Linked DNA regions of Saccharomyces cerevisiae S288C. Changing the gene in region 2 together with the main gene of any one other region gives a genetic interaction. Each region holds a gene or a part of one and is shown on either strand. Other genes may lie near its edges. The genes, in order: LAP2 and YKL183C-A.

What was found.
Region 1: mutations in YKL183C-A (region 2) and LAP2 together harm fitness more than expected from each alone (negative genetic interaction), as found in Saccharomyces cerevisiae (one large-scale study listed by BioGRID).

The regions. Positions count from the first base shown.
Region 1 is NC_001146.8:541,037-545,561, reverse strand, and holds LAP2 (bifunctional aminopeptidase/epoxide hydrolase), read right to left. Parts: upstream 2,600-4,525; coding exon 584-2,599; downstream 1-583. Other genes in the region: YIP3 (Yip3p), read right to left, coding at 1-191, 271-294; YNL046W (uncharacterized protein), read right to left, coding at 2,740-3,258; SLM2 (phosphatidylinositol 4,5-bisphosphate-binding protein), read left to right, coding at 3,681-4,525. UniProt on the Saccharomyces cerevisiae protein: Aminopeptidase that preferentially cleaves di- and tripeptides. Also has low epoxide hydrolase activity (in vitro).
Region 2 is NC_001143.9:97,641-100,363, forward strand, and holds YKL183C-A (uncharacterized protein), read right to left. Parts: upstream 968-2,723; coding exon 755-967; downstream 1-754. Other genes in the region: ornithine decarboxylase SPE1, read left to right, coding at 1-517; LOT5 (Lot5p), read left to right, coding at 1,081-2,001.

The DNA.
Region 1 (4,525 bases), on a different chromosome or scaffold from region 2:
TAGTTACTGGAAAAGTACTTCAGGTTATACGCCACTCTGGATTGAACTTCCCCAAAGTTTTGAGGTTTGGAAATTTTCTTGAAATTGAAAAATTCTTGCGGGGTGCGAAGGGTTGCTAATTTAGATTGCAAGGATTGGAACTCGCTCTTAATATTTTCCATGGAGAAGTTTTGAGTGAAACGTGAAACTTGCTATAGAAATATAGAAAAAAGGTTAACGCGTTAGTATAGTTTTTCAATGATGCAAATGTGTTTACAATTTAGAACTTACGGCTAAAGCTCCTAACTGATTCATTATTGGAGTATTTGATGTTATTTTATGCGTATTTGACGGCTGATAGTTCCAAACTCAGTGTTCAAAGCCCTGCAATATTGAATTCAATCTGAATTCTTTCGATTTGTATTTATATTCGTTGTTATTATTTATTTTTTCTTTTTGCCTCGATTGCATGTGACAAAAGTGCAAAATTCGTATCGCACGACACAGAACTCCGCCACTAATTAGAACCAGAGAAGTAGCAATGAAGGCTCATTAGTAGGTTATATTTAATTGTTTACGTATTCATGTTACGACACGTCCCTTTTCAAAGACCTAAATCTTGTTTCACAAGAGCTTTACAGATTGGATGATACGTGTCCTTGAATTTGTCGAAAGTTGCAAGTGCCAATCGACGGTCTACAGAGTTTAATAGTCTGTAACCGGGACGGACAAACTTCATTCTACCTACAGTTCCCAACCAATCGGCCAAATGCTTATATTCTTCTTGCAGCTTGGCAAAGATCTGAAATTTGAACATCTTGAAAACAACTTCCGCGTTCTGTGATTTAACAATGTTATCTTGATAGATATCTAACAGTGCCCTAGATGCCACGGGAAACTTGGCCCAGTCAAAATCTTTTGGTTTCTTGTTGGAATGGCCATTTTGTGTCAAAGTTTCCAAGAACAAAACCAATTGATTTGAATTAAAATCCTTAATGTCAATAGCGTTAAATTCAGACCGGAAATCCTCTGTGGTTTTCAAATGTTGAGCCATTTCGACCCACTTGTCAGCCAATTGATAAACATTATCAGCCAAAGCCGTAATAAAATGAGGCCTTGGTGGCATACCTGGTTTATACAGCCAAGTTTCCCAGTCAACGGAATCCAAAATTTCTTTCTTTTCGGGATAGAACTCATACAAAGTATCCAAAAACTGGAAAGTATCCAATGATTTTTTGGCAAACTTCTTGAAATAGTGTCTAATAAATGGATCAAATTCAGCCTTACCACCCAAAATAGTTTCCAAGTGAAATAGTAAGTTGAACCCCTTTTCGTACGGAACAGTGGAAAAGGCATCGTCAGGGTCAGTGTTATCGTTCAAGTTTTGTACCAAAGTGGAAAATCTTTCAGGATCTTTCATAGAATCAATAGAATTCTGCAAATCGCTCCAACCAATCAGAGCACTGAAATGTCTAGTTGGTTCGCCATGAATGGCACCAATAATTCTTCTTTCTAAGTAAACGGTCCAACCTTCATTCAACCAAAAATGATTCCACGAACAATTGGTCACTAAGTTACCAGACCATGAGTGAGCAAGTTCATGGGCGATGACATCAATGTTGGATCTGTCATGTGCAATCAAGGTGGGCGTAGCAAAAGTCATATTCGGAGACTCCATACCGCCGTAAGGGTACGAATCGACGTTAACTAAGATATCATAAGTGCCCCACTCGTATTCAAAGATAATTTTCTCTGCAGTTTGAATGAATTTCTCTACATCGTTTTCAAATTCCCATTGACAATCTTTCAAACGAAATGGTTCAGTGTAAACTGTGGAACGAGGTCCAATTGGAGCGCTTGACAAATCACCGGAAGCAATACCGATCAGGTAGGCTGGGATAGGGACTTTCTGTTCAAATCTGTAAATATTAGTATCCTTGCTTGTATCTTCAATCCTGATGCCTGAAAAAACCACTGGTAGTGGGGACTCGATAGATGCAGTGAAAGTAGACTTCACAGAGGGAGTATCAAAGCAGGGGAACAAAGACCTCGCATGAATAGCTTCCAACTGTGAAAACACGTACGGTTTACCGCCCTTGGTTTGCTTGCTGTTCAACCATTGCAAAGCGGTGCACTTGTCAGTCGTACGAAATTGAATATTCAAGGTAAAGTTATCGTTGCAAGAAGCGTTATTGATGACTAACCTGGAGCCCAATGGCTCCTTTCTTTGCTCAATTTGAAAATCTGCCTTGGAACCATCAATATGAACCTCCTGGACATCCAAATAGGATGTATCCAGATGTAATTCATCCGATTTATTTTTACCTTCGTGCAGTTTTTTCAATTGGAATGTAACGCTCCCTGAAATGGCTGACTTTTCGAAGGAAACAGACAGGTTTAAATCGGTGTGAAGAACTGCGAAGTCCTTATAATTTGATAAAGTAGACTGATCGTATTCGGGGGAGCGGGAAGGTCTTCTCTGCTCAATTGAAAGAGGCAACATTTTATGAGGGGTGGAAATGTGTATGTTTCTTGAGATTACAGTAAGTAAACCTCGAAATCGAAGCGTGGGCAGGTAAATAGAGCTGGAATGACGAATGACAAATGGAAGCAAGAACATCAATTAGAACACCAAGATAACCTAATACATAAAGCAAACTATACTAAAGTGCGTTTATATAAGTCAAACGAAAAAGTGGAAGAAAAAAAGTGACATGATTTTCCATACGCAATGCCCCCGGAAACTGAAGACGCATTGTGTCAAAAGATGAATGAAAGCCACGACGAAACAGCCGAAAATGGTGACAGGAGAGGGCCAACGAGCCCCGTGAGAAGACCTGTGTAGGGCGTACCCATGAAGGAGGCCCCTATGATTTTCCATTTGGAAACACTCAGGATGTTTTCTGATGACTGGATGATGATGTCCTTGAGGACCAGGAGACAGCCAAAAAATACAATTGAGATCGCGAGCACAACAACCAAAGGCCTTGTGTTGATGTCATAGCGAACATACCTTTCATTGATATGATGCGTAGATGGCGTTACTGACGGTGAGCTGTTGTACATAGAGTTTTTGACTCTCACGCTTTGATTATCCCTAAAATCACCCGGAATTCTGTACTGGGATTCAACCGGCACTGCCTGCTTCTGTACCCTTCTTTTATGCAGCAGCTTCCGCAGTTGGTTAGTGGTTCCGCATTTCTGTGATTTGCTTCCATCTACAGTTGAAGTTTTCCTCTTAAAGAATTGCCCAATTGACCTCTTTGATACGTGCTCCATTAATATCTTGCGCCGAAATTGTCACACTATGCTCACGTATGATTAGTGTATTTATATATGAATAATTCAAATGGCAGGCAGTTTCTTGTTCGAGCCAGCATTGGCGAAAAAAATGCCAAAAGTAGAAGTAAATACGGTAGACACTCCAGCAAGATAAAGCTGCAATATATAACACATCACGGCGATGCTTGTATATTTAGGAGCTCTTACGTCCACCAATGCTAATATATCCTCCTAATGATGGCGCTGATACTGGTAAAAACTCATAATGGTAGTAGTCATTAGCCAATACCTGCCTCTTTTTTCCGGGTCATGCCGCATTCTTTAATCAAAAGGCGATGCAACCTACTACATGAGAAGATGACCGCGCAAGCAAAGGTTTAGGAGAGCGTTATACGCTTTACCCAGCCGTCCATTGCACCATGTCTTACCAACGGAACAGTGCAAGAGCCTCTCTTGACCTCAGAAGTCAATATCAACAACTGGAAGGCAGAATGAGGTCAGAACATTTTAATCCCGCCTATCAACAGCAGCAACAAAAAGGCCAGAACATACCCCTGTCACTACCCTCGTCGCTTGCGCAACGCAATCCTATACCTTACCCTATCGACGCTGTGACTTCCGATCCCACTATCCCGGCTCAGTTGAACGTATATGATCACGATCGGCAAAATTCGATAGTCGATGCTGCGGCTGGCACCAATACGACGCACTCTTTGAACTCTAATAATATTCCATCATCACAAAATAATAATATTAATAATAACAATATCAATAATGTTGGTTCCTTCACTGACCCTTCCATGCTAACGCTGCCAAAAATGTCTTTACATAGCCACCAGAAGCAGTATGATTCTAACCAAAACGATCCTAGGTCCCCTCTGGCGATACTGATACCGACTTCTGCGCAGCCCACTGATGTCTTGTCTGCTAGGTTTTCTGCCTGGAGAAATGTTATTCGTGCCATCTTGGTATATCTCTCTGAGACCGCCTCAATACAGGACGAAATAGTTAGACAGCAACTGAGGTTGTCCCATGCTGTGCAGTTCCCCTTTTTCAGCATTGAAAACCAATATCAACCGGTCTCTAATGAAGACAAGTCCATGCAGAAATTTTTTCTGCCCTTAGGAAGTGGATCCGTTCAAGATTTGCCCACGATGCTGACCAAGTATCATGATAATCTGGCCTCTTTGGCATCGAAAAGTTCCAAGGAGTTGACCAGTGAAATTATACCCAGGCTAGAGGATTTGAGAAGAGATTTACTAGT
Region 2 (2,723 bases):
AACTGCTGTTTTGCGTCTAGCGCTAGAGGAATTTTTCCCTGTAGGTTGTGGTGTTGATATAATTGCAGAGCCTGGCAGATACTTTGTAGCTACAGCGTTCACTTTGGCATCTCATGTGATTGCGAAGAGAAAACTGTCTGAGAATGAAGCAATGATTTACACTAACGATGGTGTATACGGGAACATGAATTGTATTTTATTCGATCATCAAGAGCCCCATCCAAGAACCCTTTATCATAATTTGGAATTTCATTACGACGATTTTGAATCCACTACTGCGGTCCTCGACTCTATCAACAAAACAAGATCTGAGTATCCATATAAAGTTTCCATCTGGGGACCCACATGTGATGGTTTGGATTGTATTGCCAAAGAGTATTACATGAAGCATGATGTTATAGTCGGTGATTGGTTTTATTTTCCTGCCCTGGGTGCCTACACATCATCGGCGGCTACTCAATTCAACGGCTTTGAGCAGACTGCGGATATAGTATACATAGACTCTGAACTCGATTGAAGGATATATTTAACCACGACTTTCGCAAGAGAGACGGAGGGGGTGGGAAAAGGCTGAATGCAACCATTGTCACTAAGAATTTGAGTGTTCATGAACGAGTTATACACGCTATTTAAGAGTCAGAGAATGATGATTCAAGAAAATTCTGGCATTTTTCCTGTCCACCACTGTACGCCATTGTACACAAAAGTATTTTTTTATATTTTTTTTACAATTTTTTATAATTTTTTTTTATGTTTAGTGTATATTTGCTAGAAAGAAACAAGATCTTTTTTGGTAGTGTAAATGCTTAAACTTTGTCTCTTTTTCCTTTTTACTTTGGAAAAATGCCGACGCAAGAACATAGACATCTGCGAAAACCAAAAATAAAGTACCAATTGTACATACAAAAACAGAGAAAAAGTTCATGAACAGAACGTTACTACGGTATAGCAAGATCTTTGAATACATCCATTACTTCGGATTGTTCACCATACTTCAACACAGGCCAAGATAGACCATAGCTACAGTGATAGACGAATATTTATTTCAAAAGAAGCATCAACCATAAAATAAAAAGAAAAATGATGAAAAAAAAACCAAAGTGCCAAATTGCAAGGACCAAACCATCGGTCGAAAACGTCATACCATATAACCAATTCAAGAAGACGCAGCCGCGATTCAACGGCAACTTTTCTGCACTGAATAATGAAGAATACATAATACTCTTTGGCGGAGGTCGGGACCTGATACTAGGCTCCCTGACACCTTGTTCGAGCTCTCATTTGTCCAATCAAGCCAACCCACAAGACACCAGTGAGTATGGCACAGACCTGTTTATACTCAACAGCTGCATTATCATTTGGTTCAATGGCTTGGGATATGGGCTGGAAATTCCCTACAGCAGCGTTTTGTACCATGCATCAAGACGGCTACCAGATGGTAGGGAAGGGCTTCAATTAGAAATTTTGCTGACTTTGGAAAGAGACGAAGTGTTGGACATGCTCTACCAAAGCCTCGCGCCACAGGCCTGCGAATTCGACGGCGAAGAAGCACATGCCTTCACCGTGCGCAGCGTGGAATTGACTATCAGGCCCAAATATTCAATATACGATCGCCATTATAACAACGAAATCGAAACCCTTTTCACCTTCGAAAACTTCGGCGTGAACAGGGGCGATGACCTGGTAAACAATTGTAACGAAGCACTAGCCGTATGCATGGACCTGCACGGTGAGGACGTACAAGATCAAGACCAGGAACAATACCAAGATCCAAGCATGGCGTTTGAGGGTGCGCAAGATCTCAACGCCACGTATTCTGGGCTTGGAGACACCCTTCACGGGCCGCCCGTGTATCAGAACGACGGGCTGGCAGACGATCTGGATGGCGACCTCGTTATGGACAACGTGGTCTCTAGGGGTGGTCCAGAAGCAAGTATGTCTATGGAGTTCTACGCAAATCAAAATCTTGCTGGCAGAAAGAACTCCAGAGACAATGAATGAACAACATCTATTATGGGAACATCCCGCTGTACTATGCGGTCTCGTCCTCTACGAATATGGCTATTTGCCTTCGTATATACCTTTCTATACCAAGTAATGAATGTCTTGAGGGCCCGTATGGCCGCGCGAAGGCTTAGTTAAGATGTTTCAGCAAACGGCAGCATGTGAAAAAACCCGTAGAAGGTCCGCATCAGCCTTCCATGCCCGTGCACCCACGGCTCCTCGGAGGCCGGGTTATAGCAGCGTCTGCTCCGCATCACGATACACGAGGTGCAGGCACGGTTCACTACTCCCCTGGCCTCCAACAAACGACGGCCAAAAACTTCACATGCCGCCCAGCCAAGCATAATTACGCAACAGCGATCTTTCCGTCGCACAAGTTAAAAGAAATTGTTGAAAAATACAAATAATCGCGAACAATACGTTGTTGCTATTTAACGCTTTTGGTCTGACAGTAAGTGTGCCTTTCCCAATCACCGAAAAGTGTTGAACGATTCACTGCGACAATAATCAGAGATTACAGTCGGCATTTTGGCATTTTTGGCATACTTTTTATCGATTGAACCATCTTCTCCAAACACTTTTCCTTTTTCCTTCTATTCTGCAGGACCAACTAAAACTGGGTATATATATCATTATCTATATATATAAACGGCTTTCAACAAAGTTATAGGGGAAAACTAAAAATATAAGAAAAAAAAAGGTATTGATTGATAAGGAAA